Cricetulus griseus: one gene and its partners. The protein of the gene in region 3 interacts with the protein of the main gene of each other region in a biochemical or structural test. Links are inferred from orthologs where the notes say so. Each region holds a gene or a part of one and is shown on either strand. Other genes may lie near its edges.

The links.
Region 1: the proteins of Prkar2a (region 3) and Cdk1 form a complex in vitro, tested with the Homo sapiens proteins (2 studies listed by BioGRID, with this or other methods). The link is inferred for Cricetulus griseus from reciprocal best matches to the Homo sapiens genes PRKAR2A and CDK1.
Region 2: the proteins of Prkar2a (region 3) and Akap13 form a complex in vitro, tested with the Homo sapiens proteins (3 studies listed by BioGRID, with this or other methods). The link is inferred for Cricetulus griseus from reciprocal best matches to the Homo sapiens genes PRKAR2A and AKAP13.
Region 4: the proteins of Prkar2a (region 3) and Akap1 form a complex in vitro, tested with the Homo sapiens proteins (2 studies listed by BioGRID, with this or other methods). The link is inferred for Cricetulus griseus from reciprocal best matches to the Homo sapiens genes PRKAR2A and AKAP1.
Region 5: the proteins of Prkar2a (region 3) and Palm2akap2 form a complex in vitro, tested with the Homo sapiens proteins (2 studies listed by BioGRID, with this or other methods). The link is inferred for Cricetulus griseus from reciprocal best matches to the Homo sapiens genes PRKAR2A and PALM2AKAP2.

What each region holds. Positions count from the first base shown.
Region 1 is NW_023276806.1:268,275,299-268,280,329, reverse strand, and holds the start of Cdk1 (cyclin-dependent kinase 1), read right to left. Parts: upstream 3,628-5,031; 5' UTR 3,482-3,627; intron 1,059-3,481; 5' UTR 1,033-1,058; coding exon 996-1,032; intron 145-995; exon of another isoform or gene 67-144; intron 1-66. UniProt on the Homo sapiens protein: Plays a key role in the control of the eukaryotic cell cycle by modulating the centrosome cycle as well as mitotic onset; promotes G2-M transition via association with multiple interphase cyclins.
Region 2 is NC_048596.1:121,807,341-121,812,440, forward strand, and holds the start of Akap13 (A-kinase anchor protein 13), read right to left. Parts: upstream 3,625-5,100; 5' UTR 3,540-3,624; coding exon 3,504-3,539; intron 1-3,503. UniProt on the Homo sapiens protein: Scaffold protein that plays an important role in assembling signaling complexes downstream of several types of G protein-coupled receptors.
Region 3 is NC_048597.1:216,918,862-216,922,621, reverse strand, and holds part of Prkar2a (cAMP-dependent protein kinase type II-alpha regulatory subunit), read right to left. Parts: intron 3,082-3,760; coding exon 2,940-3,081; intron 1,866-2,939; coding exon 1,732-1,865; 3' UTR 1-1,731. UniProt on the Homo sapiens protein: Regulatory subunit of the cAMP-dependent protein kinases involved in cAMP signaling in cells. Type II regulatory chains mediate membrane association by binding to anchoring proteins, including the MAP2 kinase.
Region 4 is NC_048600.1:102,035,838-102,041,209, reverse strand, and holds the start of Akap1 (A-kinase anchor protein 1, mitochondrial), read left to right. Parts: upstream 1-2,221; 5' UTR 2,222-2,372; intron 2,373-2,599; exon of another isoform or gene 2,600-2,682; intron 2,683-5,372.
Region 5 is NC_048595.1:86,145,106-86,149,692, reverse strand, and holds part of Palm2akap2 (A-kinase anchor protein 2), read left to right. Parts: intron 1-1,965; coding exon 1,966-2,658; intron 2,659-4,587. UniProt on the Homo sapiens protein: Binds to regulatory subunit (RII) of protein kinase A. May be involved in establishing polarity in signaling systems or in integrating PKA-RII isoforms with downstream effectors to capture, amplify and focus diffuse, trans-cellular signals carried by cAMP.

The DNA of each region.
Region 1 (5,031 bases), on a different chromosome or scaffold from region 3:
TTAATCCCCTGTGTAAGTGGGGCCTCTGAACACAGATGAAAATGAAAAGTCCTCAACAGAACCCACATAGAAACAAGCTCCACCGTTTGCTCCTTGAGAGCTAAGAATGACGTCTTGACTCCTAGGTAGAAATATGGAAATTCTGTTGCAGGAAGAGAAAAAAAAGAAGAAATAGGAAAGGGTTATTTTCATTCCTCATTTATGCCACATGGGCCTAAGCATTGTTCAAAATACTACAGAAAGGAATTGAACAACACATAAAAGCCACTATGTTTAAGTCATTCTTGCCTGTAGTAACCCCATAGAAAATCATTCATCTTAGCTTGTCAATTACTGCATCCAGCTTACATAATAGAATCTAGTATTTAGAATTAATTGAATAAGACTAAAATGTAATGTGAATTACTTTAATTCTACCTCCCTAACTGACACCCCCAAACACACATACAAGCTATCAGTAGTGTTTCTGAAACACACACATCTGGTGTGTTCAGGACCAGAAGTGAGATGAGCTCAGAAGTTTGTGAGGCCCTATGGTTATCAGCAAAGAATCAGGGATAATTTAAATTCTCTTGAACAAGAGTTACAAGTGAACCACTGTTCCTGTGATAAACCCAGGCAAAAGCAACCTACGGAAGGGTTTATTTGGACTAAGAATCTGGGTCATAGTGCAGCAGGAGCACAAGGCAGCTGAGGGTGAGACTTACTATGGCTGGGATCCCTCTCTCCACTTACAGTCCAGGATCTCAGCCAGGGAATTGTGCCCACAATGAGAGAAGGGTCCTGCCTACTTCAATTAATATACTCAAGATAATGCCCTACAGGAGTGCTGGGGTGATTCCAAACTCTGTCAAAGTGACCACTAACACCAACTATAACAGTACGCTAATGCACATAAGTACAAATACATCAAGGATCACACTCAATAAACGTTTTTGTGTTACGCAGTAACATTGTTGAATTATTTTTAAAAACTTTATACTAAAACTACTCACCTTCTCCAATTTTCTCTATTTTGATATAGTCTTCCATAGTTACTCAACAGGTTACGACAGACCCTAAAACAAAGGGAAACAGTGGTGTGATTACATGCTACTAATTCATCGGTAAGATATGGGAAAAAGAGTGTCTTCCACAGTCCCTTCCAAATAGCCCATAAATAAGTTCTTATTTCAAACGGTATTACCACGGTTTAACTACTCTTGCAGCAGCTTTCTGAGCCTTCTCAGCTCCCAAACATTGCATTTGCATATTCTATACAGCATAGTACTTAGTTTCTTCGAATTTCACAAATAAAGCACACCTCATTAGGGAAGGCCTGTCATCCCAGCTACTGAGGAGGCTGATACAGAGAGATTAAAAGTTCAAGGCTAGAACAACTTAGAGACACTATGTCTCAAAATAAAAAATGCATAAGGTTTTGGGTTTGATTCCTAGGACTGAAAGTTAAAAAAAAAAAAAAAGAATATAGCAATTTTAATGCCAGTACATGCTCATTCTCCCCAACCATTTCAAGACACATTGCTACTGTACTAAATTTGTACTGTTTTAATTTTCTGAAAATCTTAAGAATTTATGAGAAGGAAGTCACACATGATGTAATCCTAGCACAAGGGAAGATGAATCAGAAGACCAAGTTCAAGGCCACCCTGTGGCCTAGTTAACTGCAACACTGTCTCAAAAGCAAATGAAGGAAGTGCCACCTTAAAGTACAACTATTAGAAATAACATTTATTATAAAAACATTTATTTTAAAAGCATCCAATTCACTTGAGCAGCAGGAATGTTCAGCCACTCAAGTGAATGCCTTCAAAAAAGCAGCCACAGACATTTCCACTCAAGACACTTAAAGGGAAATGCCAATAAGTATGGTAGAGCAGTGTTAAGTTACTGGGTCGACTAGCTTTATGTCAACATGACACCAGCTAAAGTCAACTGGGAAGAGGAAACCTCAATTTAAAAAATGCTTCTATAAGATGGGGGCTGCAGGCAAGATTATAGAACATTTTCTAAATGACTGACTGATGGGGAAGGCCCAAACCATTGTGGATGGTGCCATCCCTGGGCATCCCAAGGTCCTAGATTCTATAAGAAAGCAGGCTGAGCAAGCCACGAGAAAATAGCTTGCCATTAGCACTCGTCCATGGTCTCTACATCAGTCCCGGCCTCCAGGTTCCTGCCCTATTTGAATTCCTGTCCTGACTTCGAGGGACGAGGAGCTGTCATGGGGAAAGCAAAGCCAAGTAAACCCTCTCTTCCCCAAGTTGCTTTGGTCATGTCAATGGTGTTTCATCACGGCAATAACTATAAGACCGTGCCATTTGCATAAAATTCTAATCACACTTGCAAAGTGTCATGAACTAAAGAAAAAAATCCTTGCCTCACACAGAATGGTGGGGGAAAAAAGCTAAGCACCTTTTGCCGTGCACGCCCTTTGCCACGGATTAGATCTCTACCAAGATCACGGAATAGCTGACATTTCTTGACAGATTCCTTTCCAAAGTAAAATGAACCCCCCCCCCCCCGTGAAGTGTGGTGACACAGCCTGGAATCCCAGCTCTCACGACTACACACACAGTCAGTGGCTCCATTTTTATGAAATTACAATGGACATCAAGAAAAACCCTTCTTCTCCAATAGGCATACGTAATGTAACCATAATGCATTAAAACTTTTCAGCCCCCTTTGTACACACAGCTAAGAGCTAAGGCGTCTTCAAAGACAGGCCCATTCCCCTCCAACATTTTCCAGTCTCCTGGGGCTGGTGCTATTGATGGCCCAGAGCGTCTGTCCCTCCAGCCCAGATCTCCCAAGTTTTGGGGGATGGTGATGCGCACGCCAGAAACTTCAGTAGTAGCTTTTTTTTTTAAGACGACAGATGTTAAATCATCAGTGTTTCTACCTCTTAGCCTTTCTTAGCCTGGATACTGTCTGCGGCTGTCTCCAAGCACAGACAACTGAAAATAAGGAACGATCCTACGTTCTTCTTGGCTCCGGACCTTCACACTCGTGCTTTTTAAAACGACCACGGATCGGTTTCTCCCGCAGCACCCACTGAGGAGGGCCTCCGGGGGCAGCTGGCGCGGCGCAGCCTAGCTCTTGCACACGCAAGCCCACAGGGCCTAGGACACAGCCAGGCACCCCGCCCACACCCGGGGCTCCAGGGAGGCCCTGCGGGGCTGCAGGAACCCGGGACTCGGCTGAGGCCCTGCACGTCGCAGGGACTCCGAGCTCAGGGGAGGCGCTGCCCCTCCACGAAGGACCCCGGGCTCAGGTGAGGCCCTGCCCGTCCCCACGGGGCCCCCGGGCTCAGGTGAGGCCCTACCCGTCCACGGGAGACCATGCCCTCACGTGGAGGCCCTACCCGTCCACAAGGGGAGCCTGGGTTCACACGGATGCCCTGCCCGTCCACAGAAGGGACCCCGGGCTCGCGTGGAGGCCCCGCAGGCCCTGCCCGCACCCGGCCCGCCTCACGCCATACCTCTCTCGTTCCCGCGGCGGACACAGCGCAGTTCCGGACTGCGCGGAGGCAGCGACTCCCGGAGCTCAGAGGCCGAGTGCCAGCAGTTTCAAACTCACCGCGATAAAGCGCCCGGGATCCACCAATCAGGTTACCCGTAGACGTTCAAAGGAGCCAATCATAGCCCAGATACGGTGGGGCGGGGCTTCCTGGCAGCCCAGAGCGCGAAAGGGAGCGGAAACCGCGGCTGGAGGAAAAGCAGGAGGGCGGGCGCCAACTGACTGAGCTTCCTGACTCTGAGTGTCGTCCTCCTGTTTCTAGATAGTCTGATGATCTAATTCTCTCTCTCTCTCTCTCTCTCTCTCTCTCTCTCTCTTTCTCTCTCTCTCTCTCTCTTCTCTCTCTCTCTCTCTCTCTCTCTCTCTCTCTCTCTCTCTGACAATCTGCTGCTTAAGTCTGCTTTGTTATGTCAGCTCAGAAGTCAATTTTTATGTACCTTTGTGTTTTGCTTTTAAAGTATAACTGTTTGAGAAACATTTTCTTAAAAACTATATGAAAGAAATAGTCCCTATATAAAATAGAACTTGCCAGGCATGGTGGCACACACCTTTAACCCCAGCACTTGGGAGGCAGAGGCAGGTGGATCTCTAAACTCAAGGCCAGCCTGGTCTACAGAGTGAGTTCCTGGACATCCAGGACTACACAGAGAAACAAAAACAAAAAACAAATGAAAAACAAAAACACAAACAAAAGAATGGGGTCTTCTGGGCTGAGATGTAGTTTGGTGGTGGGATGCTTGCTTATCATGCACAAGGCCTTGTGTTCTAGTCCTGCATCCCACTCCCTCCAAAAGCAGAGCTCAGATAAACACATGTGCATGGGAAGAAGCCTCTGAAAAGAGAGACTGTGAACTCTGTGAATTCAAGGCCAGCCTGGTTTACAGAGCCAAGGTAGCCAGAGCTACACAGAGAAACTACGTTTAAAATAGATAAATAGATAGATGATAGCTAGATTAGGAACTTGAAATATAATTATTTACCTGTAGCATATACATACCTCCCAACTATTTAAATCATCTCCAGTTTGCTTATGATACATAACACAATGCAAATACCATGAAAACGGTTGTGCTCAATTGCTTAGGGAAGGATGACAGGAAAAATGACTTCCAATAATTTGGATCTGTGGCTGTTTGCCACCAGATGCTTTCAGTGATTTTATTTTGTTTTGGTTTTGTGGATGATCGTTATTTGTTTGTTTGAGACATCATTTTATATAGCAGTTACCATGTAGGCCCAAACTGGCTTGGTATTCACAGTAATCCCCTGTCTCAATTTCCCAAGTGTTAGGATCGTAGGCAAGTGCCATTAAGCACTTGATTCTAGATTTTGGACCCCAAGAATATGAGGAAGCTGATGCCACAGAATTGGCATACTGTTGTAGTTAGTTTATGTTTAGTTTGATGGTTTCGTTTGTTTATTTGTCAAACTGATACAAGTTAAGTTCCTCCCTGAAGGGAGAACCGCAATTGAGAAAATGCCTCCATCAGATTAGCCTGTAGGCAAGGATGC
Region 2 (5,100 bases), on a different chromosome or scaffold from region 3:
AACTCCTCGTCCAAATACCTTTTAGGAGGAGGTGTGAGGTGGTCGATGCTGCAGCACCTGCTAATAAGAACGCTACTTTTCCAACCAAATGCTTGAGTTGTTTTACTTAGATGAAACCATGTTATGTGTTCCTCACAAACACAAAAGAGTACATACATCTTACTGGTTCTTGTACCTAGTCAAAAACTTGTTCCTAGCCAAAAATAACCAGAAACACATGAAGAATTAATTCCTGATGGAGTAGGAGAGACTCAGGCAAACCGCAAACAGAAGCTATGGCATAACAAAAGAAAAAGAAAAGGAAATAAATAAAGCAGCTACAGAATAGAAAGGTTTATTAAAGAAAGTAAAGCAGCATGAATCTTTAAAAGGGGAAGGAAGACACAAGTAGGAACTGAGAAGACAGGCAAAAGATAAATTCAAGGATGTGAACGGATGTATACAAAGTCTTAAAGTTAACAAAATGACACAGTCTTGGAGTAATATGCCATGGCTTGAGCATCAGGAATACATAAGCCAGGACCAGAGTTCCTGGCCCAATGAACACTAGACAAAAGAAAGCCATGGAAAGGCTATATCACCTGCCCCATGCACTTCTACACATGGGTGGTAAAGGTCACATATGCTCATCATGAACACTAATGACCATTATCCTTCAAATGTGTATGTGGGTGAGTGAGAGCTTTCCCACTCTACCTCTTAGCTGTCTTGCTCTGCTTGCTTTCTCCTGTGACACCTAATATGACATATAACACATATACAGTATATTGATGTACAGGATTCTGAGACCAAATAATTATCTGAGTAAAAGGCATACTTGTTTTATTCAATGCTGTATCTGTGCCTATAAGTGTGTTGAGTTGTTGTAAGTGCTCAATAATGTATGCTGGATAAATGAATTCTTAACTCCATTCTGCAAACAATCTTCCTCCACAGTGCATCTTATGTGAGATAACTGTATGAGAAATCAAAAGATCTAAAATGTAATGCTCTGAGAATGAAAGACTTCAGCTCAAGTCCATAAAATGACAGTTAAAAAGAAGCAAGGCTCAAAAACACCCCTGATAAGAAACTACAACAGGATCACTCATCTATAGTACCCACTCTATTAAAAGAAAAATACTCAGACATAGTCCAAAAGCAAGCAAAGCCCTTAACTTTCCTTAACAACATAAACAGGAATCAACGGAGGAATTTGCTGATTTTCATACCAACTAGGGTTGATTTCACTGGTAGAAAATCATACAATTTTCTTTGACGTATCTCTTTTGACAGATAATGACAATGCCCAATTAAATCCACTCATCAATCTTCTTTTAACATGTTCATGAATATTTCAGTTAAAGGTATCCCACTCTTCAATGTTAACAGAAGTCAGTTTAAACAATACTACTGTCTTCCAAGACAGAAGCAAATGCATAGATTTGTAGGCTTCACATCTTTGTTCTACTGAGACAAAACCAGCAGATGGCGCCCAATAAATCTGTTTCTTTCTCTGTGAAAGAGCTATTTCTTCCCCCAAACATAAGAATTTTGAGATTTAAGATGAAATGGAAACAAAATACAAATGCTTGGAAAACATTTAATGTATGTAAGTCATATAGTAAGAGGTGTCTCTTAAGAGAATGGAATTCTTAAAGTTCTTCCAAGTTCTTTCTGTTGCTGTATGCGGCTCACTTCTCGGTCTGTTGCTGTTAAATGAGTACTGCTAAACTATTTGGAGGGTGCTGGACTCAGATTTTCTGGTGGGCTTTTTTTTTTTTTTTTTTTTTTTTTTTTTAAGCAACTTCTCCATCTCTCAGGACTTTTTCATAACCATATGGAACTGCTCAAATAATTAAGTCAACATTCAGACATTCTTCCTTCTGAAACAGGATCAGATATTTGCTTAAAATGCAGGAAACATCATTGGGTTGTTTGTTTTTTAAATTATTTTCATTTGGAATTTCAAGGAAAGAGCTGAAAGCTACCAGCCTTTCTTAACTCTTGACCCCTCTCTGTCTTCCCCGCCCTGGGACCAGGATACTTAAGCACTCTTGTCACTCACTCTGACGCTGACTGAAAAGAGTTGACTGGCTTGGCTGCTGTACTCACCCAGCTCTCAGCTACCTAATAGCATCCTAGGTTATTTATTGTCTTTGATTGTCTTGCTTCACCTCCAAAGTCATCAATGAAGCTAGTTCAGCAAGCTTCTAAGCTACCCCCTCCCACACACTAGAAAGCACAGAAGTTTCCAAAAATCTGGTCAGGTGGTTAACAATGTAAGAACAGCAATGAATTGCTAACTTCCTGGGGGTGATGGGAGACCAGATTTGAGTTCTAACTCTACTCCTTGCTAGCTTCACGGTCCACCAAGTGACACAGGTGTTCTGACACTGTCTCTTCTTTAAGGAGAGCAGTCATCTCATGAAGTTATTAGGATTACACAAAAAAATAAAGAAGCACAGCACACCATGTAAGTACTTGCAGATGCTAAATAATCAGAGGTGCATATGATTACTACTGCAATACAATATTCTTCTCGGCCACTCCCTCCTGCATGCTCACATGCAAATACACAAATACATTACAACTGGAAAAAAAAAATCAGCATTCCCAACTCTATACTAAGCAGAAAAACTATGGTGGAGCCTCAGTGTATCATGTCTTCAAACATCCTTTCTCTTCTAACCAAGAAGTAAAAACATTTTTAATTCTGAGTAATATGCAGACAATGTATAAATCATACCCTTACATGTGGGAAGAATAATAAATGTCACTGAGAACTGGAAAGCAGGCTTCATGCAGAAAAGATAAGTAACTGCAGAGCTAACGTCTTAGGATCTGCTGCCTGGATTCACTTCATACAACAAGAATGAACTAGACAATGTCAGCAAAACCTCAAAGTAGAATTTTGGAATGCCAGAGGTACCTCATAATTCTACCTTCATTAAGAGTAGGTTAAGTTCATTCCTGATCTCCAAACAAATGCAAGATAACAACAAAACAAAGGTAGGAAATGAGCCCACAACCAGATTGGAGGATCCCATGAACCAAAAAAGGAATGTACCGTAAGATAAAACTCACATTTCCTTCTGTGGACAAAACAAAAAGAGACAGCTGAGAATTCCACCCCAGCTGCCAGATGCTCTGTATATCACATGGGGTCAGCAGTTAATCCAAACAGAGTTTTGTGGAGGGCTCCAAGGATATACAAGAGCCAACAGCTTTTTCTTGGTTTAAAAAGGAGAAACAGAGCCAGGGAGATGGGTCAGCAAGTAAGGGTGTTTTCTCCCAAGCCTGCAGACCTGAGCTGGATCCCACCAGCCCACATATTAAGGGAGAGAACTGACCCTACAAGTTGCCTCTGACCTCCATGGACATGCTGTGGCACTTACGTCCCTATATACACAAATTAAACAGATGAATGAATGAATGAATGAATGAATACATAAATAAATAATTTTTAAGAGCAAGGACAAGGAAACTAAAGAGCTGGCTTAACAGAGGTTAAGACCACTCACTGTTCTTACAGAGGACTTGAGTGTAGCTCCTAGCATCCATGCTGGACACTTGGGTGGCTCACATCTGCCTGTAACTCAAGGTCTAAGGAAGCTGATGCCCTCTTCTGGCTTTTTCAGATACCTGTATTCAATTGACATATAGTCAAACAAACACATTGATAAAAACTTTAATTAAAAAACAGAATATTAATAGTCTCATCTCAAGTGACAAAGCAAGTCTCAAAGAAGCAATGAAAAACTTGAATCTTCAATCAAAGACTGGTAACTTTAAAATATAAATCTTAGCCCAATTTCTCCTTCCATAAAATAAGAAAACTCCTAATTCATTGCTTTGTCAGAGAAGTAGAACAAGATTACTAAGAAAGCACACACAGAAAGTTCCAAGTAAATAACAGAGATACAGGACAGAAGTTTAGCTAAAGCGCCAGTTAAGCACTGTCAGTCCCGAGTTCTCACTAAGGACCCCACCAAAGAGATCAAAACAAAATAACACTCTGTCACTTGCTCCAGATCACAAAGTTCTCCTGTGCAGTTTCATATCTTAACTGATCTTCCTTTTGAGGACATAAATCCTAACCTTTTCTTCAGATGATCAATTATTTATTCACACATGGGGCAAAGCTCTTTCCTGAGGATGACTTGGAATTCTACTTGAGAACATTTAACCAAAACTACCATGCCTATTCGAAAGGCACTGAGATATAGAAGCACAAGTAAAACTGAAGAAGGCAATAGAAACAAATTTCAAGTGCTGCCCTCAACTCTTAAGGAATGTGCAACCGAGTAAATGGGGAAAACACATCCACAAAAATGCATCTAAAGTGTTAGAAGTGTTAAGTGGTCTGTGAAGCACAGTGGAGACACAAGAGAGGCATGATGGGTTCCACAGCAGGGCAAAGGGTAAGGCAGGGTACCATACAAACAAATGCCAGAAACAAATCCTGAAAGCTAAACGGTTCAGTGGTGGTGGTTGTGTGTTGTGGGGGGGGGGGTGGTATTTCAAAGCAAGTAACAATATATTTGGAACTCATTTATTACGGAGCATTCCACCAACCCAGCATAGCACCACCCATAGCTAGGGATCTTTAAACTGCCAATTGTTGAAGTCAAAAGACTGCTGTAGTTTCGATAGGCAGTCCTCGGGCAAATTCAAAAAACCTGTGGGATCTTATCAGTTCTATTTGCATCATGACCTATACTGCTTCCACTACAAAGCAGATGTGGCCTTAATTATCCATGTCCACACAAAGAACCTGTGAAAATTCAAAATGACATAGAAAGTACTGTGAAACATAGTATGAAGTATTACTAGCTCTAGTAACAGAGTGATCCTCTGAAAATCACCATTTACTGGTAACATAACTGCTGCTACATTCAATAATACAAATCTTAACAGGGGCTTCAAAATTTATTAACAATGTACCCAGAAAGCTGGGCTTACAGAGAAGCTAAGTACTTGTCCTTTTGAAATAGCAACCTACATGACAATTTCCTGTTTCTCTTTGATGAGTTGCTATATCATCAATGTTGGAAGACATAAATCTACCCAAACTGTTCCATTTTAATTCACCAACGGCTTTTAAAACTGTTTTGTCTG
Region 3 (3,760 bases):
GCTGGGGTGGGGGTTCAGAGTCCTTCTAAGGTTTGGGAGCTGGAATTTTGGGCTGCTCCTGGAGTCCAGTGCACCTCTTACCTTTGCAAGAACCAGGTATTATTCGGTCAAAGTGCAAGGTCTGATTTATTTAATAAAGCAATACCATAGAAAATGACCTTAGGAAAATTTGGGATCACCACAAAGGTTTTCCAGTGCTAGCTGCCTGCTTTGGAGTAGTAGTTATGACCATACAATTCCCAAAGCTGTAACATAGGCTACTTAGGGCAGTCTGAAGAGTCCTGCTTTATTTCATGGAACACAAGAAAAAGTAATTACTAAAATGGTGGTGACTGATCTAGTCTGGACATCTCTTAACTACAAGTGACCACGGCAAAAGCTGAGAGACAGTTAGAAAGGCCTTCACAGTAAGTTTATAAATGGTAACCTTTCTTTCTGTGGTTATTATAGTGCTGGAGATCAAACCCAAGGCTTTGCACATGCTACATAAGTGCTTTGCCACTGAGCCACACCCACCCCCTTCCCCAATGATACCAAGTTTTGAAAACAGATACTTAGCACAAATGTCTGAGTCAGCTCACAAACCCCATGTGTGTATGGAATATGACCAAAGTGAATTCCTTTAAATAGAGAAATAATTTCCTTAAAAAAAATTAGCTTCTTTGTAAGAGTTTCAAAATGGATGATTCCTAGCCAAGCTAGGCAACAATGTTGGAAGATGAAGGAAAAGGACTCTCTGTGTAGCACAGCCCCTTCAGCCCACAGCCATCAGCCAGTGGACCAACTGCTAACAAGACATGGCCAGGGTTGCTCAGGGAACTAAAGGTCAGATGAAGCGACGACACCTCCAGATCCTGGCTCCTTGTATCAGCACCATGCTCTAACCAGCTGAGCTAACTCCTGGCTCCTTAGAAAATGGCAGCAATTTCTTTATGCAAACTACACCGAGGTTAAACAAAACTTGCTAAGAACAAACAACAAGAACGCTAACCCAGATAATCTTTCCTGGCTCTTTGCTCCTGGCAGGAGTGCTGAGTCCAAGTGTCTTGCTAACGTGAATCTAAGTAATCAATCTGCTCTGTATGGGCCTGCTGGGCCTTCAATAGACCCTTTTCTGAGTGTCACTATGGGCTTGGACACAGCTATGTTGTGCAGCTGCCAGCAAATAGGACAGGACCACTAGAGCACAGACCTCCATTATAACTGCTGCCATCTTGCACTGGGAAAGTGAAGGCAGCAACTGTGAACACACTGTGAACTTTCTCAAAAGACAAACGAGGAGACTGAAGGCTGTACCATCTCCTCCCTTGACAAGGACTGTGGAGGGGTCTACAGTTATTCAACAGGTTTCTGTAGACCTTAGGGTAACTTTCAGAAGCATCATTAGCAGCAAGAGAGGAAAAGATGTTTACACTTTGGACTTTGTATCAGGCACTTAAATTGCTGGAGAGACATGCCATTCTGAACCAAAGATGTGAAAACTGGGTTGAAGTAAATTGTTACATAAGTGGTCTAATGATGGGCTTTCAGAAGCAAAGTGGAGGTGGGGGCGGAGCCTCTGTCCATCTTTCAGTGCTGACTCTCAAGATTTCTAAATGCCCTTAACCACAGCAATGGCAGCGGCGGTGACAACAGCAGGAACGGTTCTGTCGTGTCTGTTTTCTGTGTGTGTTCTGTGGCTGACTGGAAGGTTTTGGTGTCACACTGAGAAGGCTCTGAGAATCATCACATCTACTGCCCAGGGTCCAACAGATCTAAGTTGGAGCCAAACATCTTCACCAGCTGCTCTTCGTAGTGTGTGATATTCCTCTTCATGATGTCCATGCACGGTCCCAGAAGCCTCTCAAATGCTTGAACATCCATAACTGCATTGTTTAAAAAAGAAAAAAAAAAGAGTTCGGGAGAGAAGGGTTTGTTTATGTTAACAGTTGAAGCAATCTCCTGCATGCCACCCTTTCCCTACTCCACTTCCTCATGCTCCAGGAGATGACATTTCAGGACACTGGGGAAGGGATGCTCTGTACGAACGCTGAAGACGGATGTGGGCACAGCAGCACCTGCCTGTCTTGTCCCTCCACAGACCTGGCAACCTGCCCACATCACTGCTGCTTCTGCACAGCTGTGGCGCTGTACACCTGTCTTACTCAGGGTTGCTCACTGCTCAGAACCGACCGCTAGGGTGCTGGGGAAAGCTTAGAGGTACAGCATGTGCTCAGAATGTTCAAGGTTCTAAGTTCAATGCCCAACACCTCCCCCACCAAAAACAGCTTTGCTCTAAGAATTCATTTATACAAGTACCCAGACCTAGATCTGAATGAGTTTGACTGAATAAATCAAGGCTTGCTAACAGAAAACAAAACAAAAAACCTGTACATTAGAAAAAAATTAGTAATGTACAAAGAATTTCCTTTTTCATTTTAAAGTTTTTATTAGCACATATAATATACAATAATGGTTGTTATTAGGGCATCTTCATATGTGTGTGTGTGTGTGTGTGTGTGTGTGTATTTTTTTGTTTTGTTTTGTTTTTCGAGACTGGGTTTCTCTATATAGCTTTGGAGCCTATCCTGGAACTTGCTCTGTAGACCAGGCTGGCCTCGAACTCAGAGATCCACCTGCCTCTGCCTTCCAAGTGCTGGGATTAAAGGCGTGTGCCACCACTGCCTGGCCATGTATGTAATTTTTATCATATTCACTCCACCCCATCTTGTCCCACTCCCATCTATCCTCTCTTCTTCCCAGCCAGTTAGTTCCCTTCCGATTCTTCTAATTTCATGTCGTTTTTGTGGGGGAGAGGGAAGAAAGTTTAATTAGGATTGTGTCATGGGCAATTTATCAGTGGCTACCCTATGAAGACAATCTCTCTCTCCCCCAGCAACTATTAACAGTCTAAGGTTGGGGGGGGGGCTTGTTAGCACCTCACAAAGAACTTTTCTTACCTAAGCATTTGACTTCTCCAACTGCATAGGCAGAAGCAGCTCTGGGTTTGTTGGTGACCAGTGCAAGCTCTCCGAAGTACTGTCCCTTATGGCAATGGGCAATCTCAACCTCCTGGCTCCCACCATCCTTGTTCGTTTTAGTCTACAACAGGCAAAGAATAAGATTCGGGCTGATTCTAAGATCACAGCTGGGCATGTCCAGTTACACACGTCAAATTCATTACTCACAAAGTTCAACAAAGTTACTGAGGAATTTGCTTTGTAGAAACTCTTAACTATATTATCCTGTAAATCAACAGACAGATCTCTGGGGCCTGGTACAGCTGAAGAGCTGTTTTACTTGGAGCTCCACCTAAGCCCTAACACATTTCAGATAATGGCTAAGCATGAGCCAGTCAATTCCAGCATTTTCAGTGGAGATTACAACTTCTGGGAGATGTGACTGGAGCACAGTTTGAACACAAGGTCTGCTGCTAATTCTTCCTAATAATGAACTCTTCTTTTAGTGATGAGCCCAAGCTCAAGGCTATGTGGTGGATCAAGACTATCTCGTGTTGTTCTTCACAGTGATATTTCTTTTAAAGCACTATGTGCGCTTACACTAGTGCTGCACCTCCATTCTTTTTTTTTTTTTTTTTTTTTTTTTTGAGACAGGGTTTCTCTGTGTAGCTTTGGAGCTTATCCTAGAAATTGCTCGGGAGACCAGGATGGCCTTGAACTCAGAGATCCACCTGCCTCTGCCACCAATGCTCAGCTGCACCTCCATTCTTAAGAAGTTAACTATATCCTGCCAGGCATTGGCAGCACACACCTTTAATACC
Region 4 (5,372 bases), on a different chromosome or scaffold from region 3:
TGGGGTTCCAAACTCAGGTCTTCAAACCTGTATAGCAAGCACTTTTACCACTTTTACCTTTAAGATTATCTCTCCAGCCCCCTAGCTTTAATTTTTTTTCCTCTTTTCTTGCTTTTTTGCTTCTCTTTTTTAAAATATCCCCCACTTTAAGCCATGTATGGTGGTGTACAGCTGTAATCATAGCACTAGGGAGACTAACTAACATGAAAGAACCACAAGTTTGAGCCAGTCTGAGTTACCTAGTAAGAACCTATCTAAAGCAAAGCAAAACCAAAACATCCTCAAATATGTGTATAAGTGTGTGTGTGTTCCCTCTTTACATAACCTTGCATATTTGTATTTCCTACCCATTCTCTTTTTAACTCCAGACTTGCATATCCAACTCAGCTGCTATTTGCAAAAGCAGTATAAAGTTAATGGGTCCCAAATAAACCAAATGCTTGCCTGCCAGCATTAACTAAAGCCAGAGAGACCTTAACCATAACAACGTGAGTGAGTCTTGTCCCTCTACTTCTAACAACCCCAGAGTCACTGAGTGCTGGGTCCTTACCTTAGGCCAGCATCTAGTCTCAAATGGATCAATTACCTCAGCTTCTTGACCAGTCCCTTCTGCCATGGTCAGTTACTAATCCACTATTTACAGAACAGGTATGGTTCTGTAAATTTGGGGGGGCGGGGTGGAGAGATGGCTCAGTGGTTAAGAGCACTACCAAATCTTGCAGAGGATCAGAGTTTGGTTCCCAGGCTCCACATGGAGGCTCTAAACTGGTTTGTAACTCCAGTTCCAGAGGATCCAATGTCCTCTTGGGTCCTTCACAAGCATCAGGCACTCACATGATGTATGTACATGTATGCAGGCAAACACTCATACACATAAACTCTTTAAAAACAATTGTGGGGGGTTTGAGATAGGAACTCAACTCTGTAGCCCAGGGTGCCTTGAAATTGTGGCAATCCTCCTGCCTCAGCCTCCCAAGTGCTGCCTCATGAAATAAATGAGTTAGACAGTAGATAGATGAAATTATATTTTCCACTCAGTAAGCATACAGTCTCTTTTTAAAATTTAAATTCACGCTTGATCACCAGTGAAGATTTTCCCAAGTAATGGTTAGTTCTTTTTGGTTTTGTTGTTGTTGCCTTTTTTTTTTTTTTTTTTGAGAAAGGGTTTCTCTGTGTAGCTTTGGCTGTCTTAGTACTCACTCTGTAGACCAGGCTGGCCTTGAATTCAGAGATTTACCTGCCTCTGCCAAGTCCTGGGATTAAAGGGGAGCACCACCGCCGGTCTAGGACCAAGTAATGGCTAGTTATTAGTATGGTATCTTTTCTATATTTTGTTCAAAAACTGCATTTAAAGTACCATGTTGCCTTTGTAAAGCCAACATTACAAAGGTAGAGGCAGGAGGATCAGGAGTTCAAGGTCAGCCTCAGCTACCTTTCGAGGTTGAGGCCAGTGTAGGTTACACGAAAGTCTCAGAATATCAAAATAAATAAGCAAGAAACAAAAAGCGCCTAGGTTTTAAGGTTCAGAGCAGAGCTGGCCAGAGGGACTCCTCTGAATGTCTGAAGGCATTTTATTTTCCAAAGTTGTTGTGGGAGGCAGTGACTCTTGGTGACCCACTTCTTCGAAGGCAAAGTTTCTGAAACCCCAAACCATTTAGAGGGAAGTCGTTTCGACATCACTGGGTTTGCGAAAATGGGAAAGCAATTTGGTATTCGAGTGCCACACAGTATCCGTATTAACTGAGCAATTTTCATGGCCCCCTATTATACTCGCAAGGTTACGGGAAAGCTAAAATCCGAGACAAGGGGAGCCTTGTCCCTCACCAGCTTCTCCGGCCTTTTCCAAGGGACACACCATCCGAAAGCAAGAACATGGGAAGACGCAGAGCCCCCACGCGCGCCAAATTCCCTGTGCCCGACGCGCAGACAACGGGAATCCATCCCGGCCGGAGCGTGGGCCGCACGGCCACTCCTACGCCGCTGTGACTACAACTCCTCTCGCGAGAGCACCCGCAGGGCGGGCCCGAACGGCGCCGGGATGTCAGCGGAGCTCTCCAGACCGCGCCCCTCTTGGCGCAGCTGGGAGAGAGGCGCGCGCAAGTCGGGGAGGGAGCGGCCGGTGTCGCGCACGCGCAGCAGGGCGAGCGGGCGAGTGGGAGCCCGAGGGCGAGGGGCGGGGCTTTGCGTCGCGCCGCGGGCACGTCGTTGCGCGTCCTCAGTATTTAATGTCTCTGTGTTCGCCCGGCCTGGGCTAGCACGTGGGGGAGCGGCCGGAGCGCGGCTCGGCGCTGCAGGGCAGGGCCGCTGGGCTAGGTGGGGGTCAGGGGGCGGTGGCGGGAGGACTGTGTACCTAGACGGTCGCCCCGGAGCAGGTAAGTAGCGGCTGGCGCGGGCACCCGCCTGCCGGGCCCGGAGGGAGAGCGAGTTGGGGTGATGGGGAGCCCGGGGTGCAGGTGCAGGGTGCGACGCGCGTGCCAGGTGCTCCGGGGACGGGGCGGTGTGTGCACGGCGCCCGCTGTGAAGCGGGCGGGTCTGTGACTCAAGTGACCCGCGCGCCCCCTGGTCCTCCTTCTCGGTCGAGCTGGTGCTGACAGATCGCGTGTGCGCTTAGCTTGGGGCGCTGCTCTGAGCCGCTGCTTCCCCCCTCCCATCCCCCGCACGTCACTGGCCTCTAGGATGGAGGTGAGGGCACAATTCCTCCGGCGCCCCGGTGCGCCTCAACTTTCCCGGTGTTGGCTCGCCCTTCTGGGTAGCGAACCCGAGCGCGTCCCACCCAAGGTCGACCAGCCTCGGTCGCGTTTACTTTTCAAAGGTCGTGTGTACCCAGTTTGAGCGTGGAGAGGAGGCAGCGGGGCGGTCTCTGTCCAAGGACTCGGTACCCAAGGCGGGAGAAGAGGTCCTTGGGGACCGATCTCTTTCCTGGCTGAGGGATCGGAGTTGAAATTGGTCATTTTCAGAGCCTCTTGTAACTTCTGGGCCCGGTTGATTTCGTTCTGGGTTGTCCCGGCGGTGGTGGCAAACCCGAGCAGGTAGGCAAGGTTCCTGGAGTTCAGTGCAGGGAACTATCGGAGCGAGCTCTGCCGTCGCTGCGGGAAGGATGGGATGCGAGACAGATCCCGAGCCTATTGGCCGTGGAGGGACCGTAAGAACCGAGTTAGGATCGGGAGGTCGAGAACTTGGGTATCTTCAAGGGGATTAGGGTTTGTGGCCCCATAAGCGTGTCCCGAGAGGTGGAGGACCTCTAGCTCGAGGTGCCCGCTGACTTCTGGCCTGTGGGGAGTCCAGTGTCACGTGTTATGATCCACTTTCCTTCTCGTCCCGGGTCGGTGATCTGGAGGGACTTTGCAGGGGTCATAGGTAAAAATGTGCTTGGGGAGACCCCCCAGACGCATAAGGGGCGACATTCCAGAGTCAACTACCCCTGTGCCCTAGGTTATGGCTTTTCCTGTTTCCTTTCCTTGGGAGGGAAAGGCAGATGGTATTGGGTTATGCAGAAGCGACCTCTGAGAAGCCCTGTACATAACGGGACCTTTCTCCCCCAGTGAAATGCCTCCGGCGATCGGTACCTTTCTATCCTTGGGCTGTGGTTAACACAAACCCGGTGGACTTCGCTCCAGGTGCGAATGGAGGCTTCTCAAACCCAGTAGGATAGGGTGTATGTGTAGGGCAATTAGTGAGGTTAAACTGCCGATCTTTCCCCTACTGAGGTTGAGGCTGCTTGGGGTTTAAATTTAACTCCTGCAGTGAAATTAGGGCTGCTGGACCTGATGTAACCATCTCTCTGTTTGTTTGCCACCTCCCTCTATACTCGAGTATTGCAATTGCCATCCAGGAACACAGTTCACAAAAAGCTGTTGCTTTAGGAAATTAACCTTCCATGCTCGTTTAACTGCAAAATCCTTCCCAAATTAGTAACCACGTGGTTTTTTGTTTTGTTTTGTTTCTTTTAAACGTTTAACTTTAGAAAGAGTCTTAGGGCTACACCTACCCATTCCTCTCTTAAAGGTACAGAGCATCTAGACCTCTGAAAGAGTTCTCATATCAAATTCTTCTGTTATTGGCATTTAAGTGGTTCACCTGCAGATTATTTAGGACTTTTTCAGAGCCCAAGGAACAAGTGAGGTTATGTTTGGGGAGCTTTTTGGACTTGTTGAACCTTCTTTTCACCTCTAACCTGTTTTGTAGGTTCTGGGTAATTCCTGGGTGTAGTCTTGTGAAATATGAAAAAGTGGCCTTGGGTTAGAGGAGGCCCTCGTACCCTACAGGTATGCAAATCACTAAAGCTTCAGTCATTTTGCTAACTCAGTAGGCCTTGTTCTGTAGGATATGCAGGTGGCTATCCAACCCAGTGGGTGAGATCTGATCTAGGTCTAGTGGGTTTGTGTCTGCGTGGCTCTCCCATCTCCCAGCTGTTTGTAGAAATTGCATTCACACTTGGCCACTGCAGGGCGACAGCCTAGATACGGGTATCTGTTGTACATTGCCTGATCAGATGCTGAGAGCAATGTGTCGGGTTGCTGAGCATCAATACTTTAAAGCAGTGTCTTGCTAACCGGTAAACCAGATTATACTTGGACCTGGCCGAGAGGCTGGTCACAGCCATAGTTTATGGAGGAAGGTAGTTTTAACTTCCGATTTTCCCTTTCTCATCCTAAATATGGATGGAAATCATAAATTTGAGACTTGGGACTATGTCTTGGTATGTGGCAGGCACTTAAGTATAGTATCCTTCACTCCCAAGGAATCCCTGTGTTTGACTCAATCATTTGATTGTTTAAGTATAAAAGCACTCCCTCCCCTAGCCTCTGACCTAGTAATTTGCTTCGAAGGAAAGAGGAGACAAATTGATTTCTCCATGCTTTGCCACCTAGCCTCCTGGGTCAACATGTCTTGATGAAACTGGCATTTTAAGGCATCGGAGCTCATGTGCCTGGAGAGCTGCCCTGTTTTCCATGGCCACTCCTTCCTAGTCTTCCGTGAGTCTGCCATGCCTGGGCCTCTCTGCAGCCCAGTCTTTTCCTGTTTGAGGGAAGTTTGCGTCTGGCATTTGTTTCTTTGAATAGTCATCCTAGGAACTTTATTATAGGGAGGTGCTTGGGTTCTGTGGGCCCCCTGCCCCTCTGAAATATATAATAATGTTTGGAAGTTGCTAATCTCTATAGTGGGGCATATTTAAGTCCTAAATCTTGCTTTATAGGGCAAGTTTTGATTCTCCTTCCTGGTGTAGCCAGTCTCTTCGTCTTTCTCAAGTATTTGGGATTGAATATAGGGCCCTTATGCATGTTAAGTACTGTACCATTGAGCGTTAGCCCTAAGTGGTTTTTTTTTTGTTTGTTTGTTTGTTTTTGGAGACAGGGGTCTTGCTATGTAAC
Region 5 (4,587 bases), on a different chromosome or scaffold from region 3:
CTTCTTTCCCTCCATCTCTTTCTTCTCATTTTCCTTCTTACTTTCTCCTCTCTCCATTCCCTTCCTTTCCCCTCCTATCCCTCTCTTCCCTTCCTCTTTTCTTTCCTCTTTCTTCTGTCTCCTTCATTCCTTCTTTCCTTTTTTCTTTTTGAGACAGGTTCTCAGATAGCCCATGCTGGCCTCAAACTCACTGTGTATTGGAGAGTGACCTTGAATCCCAAATTCTCTTGTCTCCATCTCCCAAATGACTTCCTTCTTTTTATACAACCTTTTTAAAAGTATAGGAAACCATTCTTCCTCCTGGCCATATGAAAGAAAACAGGCCCCGGCCTGCCTTTGGCCCCGTCTATATGTGTAGTCCTCGGGACTTGAGTGGGTCTGGACTGAGGCTTGTGGAAAGAGATAATGATGAGGGGATGGATGGGAAAACCTGAAGCAGATCCCCTCAGTGACTGGATGTGGGAGAGTAGAAAGAAGGGATGAATCAGACATGATTCAAGGCTTCTGGCTTACAGACTAAGCATCGAAACTGTAGTACTAGTGTCACCATACCAAGATGAGGGACGAGTTGAGAGAAGAGGCTGTAATGGTTTTGAAGCTGCTGAGCCCAGCGTATCTGGGTACCATCTAGGTAAAGGGTGCCTGCAGCCAGGTGGCTCTGTGGGCCTGCTACCCCATTCCATCCACAACGTGTGTTTCACAGGGAGCCTCTGAGGGAATGGACACAAATGTTGGGTGTCCCAAGAGGCTATAGGACAGGGGAGAGCTGGTACATAAGCATCAGGATGTGAGATGGTTGGAGAGTCTGGTGCCTTGGGTGACACTCTTCTTAGCCTAGGCAAAAGGAAAGAAGAGTATCGTGGCCGTGAGCATCCATCACAACATGGAGCAGAACAGCAAAAAACAAGACAACGGGAGGGAAAATACAATGGGACAGAATCATGAGCCTTAACACTATTCGGAAAAGAGAGGACAGAATGCTGGTGGAGAGAGCCTTTAATCCCAGCACTCAGGGGGGCAGAGGCAGGTAGTTTGAGGCCAGCCTGGTCTACAGAGTGAGTTCCAGGACAACCGGAGTTACACAGAGAAAACCTGTGTTGAAAAACAGAGGGAGAGAGAGAGAGAGAGGACAGAGGGCCTTTGAGGGCACCATCCTCTGTTCCTATGTTACAGATGTCATGACCACCTGTCCTCTCACTGGTTCTGTTTTTGCTTAGTGACACAGCTGTTCTCCCTCACATGTGATATGAAAATAATCCTTTATAATGACTATATGAATTCCATATGCTGCTGTGGTCGCTGAGGCATTTGAAAGATGCTTTCTTCCCTACAAAGGGTTTGTCCTGGGGTTGTCATACAGTAACTTTATGCTTCAGCTGGAGGTCAGACAATGACTGGGTTACTCTCAGAGTATGCTTTCCTATTCTTTCAGTGTCTGCAGAATAACTAATTGTAGTGTAGGGGAGGACAGCTACGTCCTGCCTGCAAAACACTTGGCACCTTCTCCATTAACAGGCCCAAGAAAATGTAGAGGAAAAAAATAGGCACATATTTGATGAAAGAGTTGGAAAAAATGACTAAGTTTCTGGAAGGTAGGCGCCTCTTTGACATTGTCTATAAGCCTAGGCAGATCTCAGTCAAGATCACTTGCATGTTTCTGGCCTTCCCATCACTCTGCCCTGTTAGATCCGAAGTCTCTTATTTTAGCTGGTCTCTTAAAAAGTCTGGGTCCATTAAGATGTGGTGACTATTTGCATCTGTCTTCCCAGTGCATTAAGCTGCTGTGTGAAGAACACACGCAACCGCCTCTGTCCACACTGCCCACTACATGCTAACACTCAGGATGCTTGATGGTTACAATAGAAAGGGCACAGACCACTTTTTTTTCTGTCTGTTTGGCAATTAACCATTCACTGGCTTTTTTTTGTTGTAACATGCACTTCCTTTCTCTTGTTTTCATTCAAGCTATATACGCCATGGAAATTAATGTGGAGAAAGACAAACAGACAGGAGAGACCAAGATTCTCTCTGCATCCACCATTGGCCCAGAGGGGGTCCATCAGAGAGGAGTCAAAGTCTATGATGATGGTACCAAAGTAGTGTATGAGGTGCACTCAGGAGGCACTGTGGTAGAAAACGGAGTCCACAAATTAAGCGCAAAGGATGTGGAAGAACTAATTCAGAAGGCTGGACAATCGAGCTTCAGGGGACACATGTCTGAAAGGACTGTTGTTGCAGATGGGAGCCTGGGCCATCCCAAGGAACACATGCTCTGCAAAGAAGCCAAGTTAGAAATGGTACAAAAATCTAGGAAAGATCACGCTTCGGGAAACCCCGGGCAGCAGGCCCAGCCCTCCAGCACGGAAGGGCCAGAGGCAAACCTGGATCAACCCGTCACCATGATTTTTATGGGCTACCAAAACATTGAAGATGAAGAGGAGACTAAAAAGGTGCTAGGCTATGACGAAACCATCAAGGCCGAACTAGTCCTAATCGATGAAGACGATGAGAAGTCGCTAAGAGAGAAGACAGTGACGGACGTGTCCACGATCGATGGAAATGCAGCTGAGCTGGTGTCCGGGAGACCCGTGTCAGACACCACAGAACCCTCATCCCCAGAAGGCAAGGAAGAGAGCCTGGCCACAGAACCGGCCCCAGGTACCCAAAAGAAAAAGCGCTGTCAATGCTGTGTTGTCATGTGACCACTTCTTTCTCCTCCCCTTTCTTCCGGGCAGCCTCTCTACTCTCCACCTCTTAAATAGACCTCACTGTACCACTAACAGCGATACTGTGAACTGGAAGCAAACACCTGCCTTGCCTCGCAGTTGGATTTGCTTTGATCTCTCACTCACATCTTTCCTTCTCACTTGGGAAACAACGTGCATGTGTGTGCTTCATTTTTTTTTCTCCCCAAGAACTTACTTTTTCCTCTAAACCTTTCCTTGTGTCTTCAAGAGTGAATCAGTGCCGTACTGCTCGATTGGAGTGGACTCTTCATAGCAACTGGTTATCTAGTAGCCTTAATTGACTTGACTGGACTCACACCCGTTGTTGGCACCGGGGGTTTTCATTTTGGCGTGTGTTCCTCTAACATAGACACGCATACACAGAACATACACACTGCCATGCCCCTGGCTTCTCGCCTGCCTCTTTTGCTGTGTGGGTCTTTGTTTTTTTTTTTATATATATCTTGTGTAGCAAAATGCTGTGAGCTCTAGCCGGTTGCTAGCATAGTCGAAAGTGGACCTATCTTAACCTGGCTGTTCTAGGGTGACACGTTTTCTTTGCTGCCTTACATACGCTTCCAAATTACAGTATTGTACTTTCCTTCTGTTAAAACGGATACGAAGTTGACTGGAAAGCAAAGAACCCAGCGCCTGGCCCAGCTAAAGTGTAGGGACTGACGCATCTATCACCTGCCAGTCAGCAGCTTTCTCTTTCTATGGCTTACCCAATGAACCCTTTCTACAGGACTTTCTAAGGACCTCAGGCCACCATTGTTTTCAGCATCTGTAGTGCTCGCCAACCCATAAGCCTTGTTTCCAAGCTCTCCCAAAATGTAAATTTTTATATTGTTTTCTTTCTCATGGGTATCTTCTGATTGAATTCAGCTATTTTCAAAAAGTGGATCATTTTGAGAAGTCTCTCTGCAGTGACCATATTTCTTAAAACAGTCTTTCTGACCTATAGGGGCTGTCATTACACCCCTACTGAATCCAGGATGGTGCTGTAAGCATTAGCTGTCCATTTCCCATGCCCAGCTGATTAGTCTCACATCTGTGCTTTTTTCTTTTTTTTACTTTTTATTTTGTTTTCATATTCCCATGGGTAAGAGGATGTTTTGGGTAACCTCAATGTATAGTTTTCTCCACTCTTAAAAAAAAAAAAATTGGGCAGTGGTGGTACATGAGGTGGATCTCTGTGAGTTCAAGGCCAGCCTGTTCTACAGAGTGAGTTCCAGGATAGCCAGGGCTACACAGAGATACCACATCTCAACAAAAATCAAATAGACAGACAAAGGTTTTTCAATGTGAAAAGCATTGAAAGACAAAGAAAGATCATAAATATTTCCACATGGTCTGATTGTCACATTCCCTGGGCTTCTTAAGGCTTCCTTTCTTCAATTTCTGGGAATTCTAGAATATTGAGGAATTTTTTTAACCTAAAACATGATGAACAACCCTTGAAATACATTGTTAGAATGGCCCCAACCTGGACATCCACATGATTAGTGAAACCAAAGGGAAGGAATTTAGAAAAAGAGCCCTAATACAGGAATAAAATGAAGTGGTGATGTGTTAACTGATTTTGATGAAAGATAACTTTGTTTACCCTGACATTCAAAATATCATCACAAATCAATACCAGAATCATGTATATTCCCATGGAATATAGTCTCAAAAACCATATGCTTGACCTCCTACATCAAGTCTCAACATATCTGAAAGGAAGCTCAGAAAAAAAAAATAATAATGAGGAAGCCTGAGGAATTGCAGTAAAGAGCCAACTAAATTCATCCCATTTAGCTTGTTTGAAGATAAATCTGTTATTTTGTTCATTTCTTGGCTTAAAGTTATATTTATTACA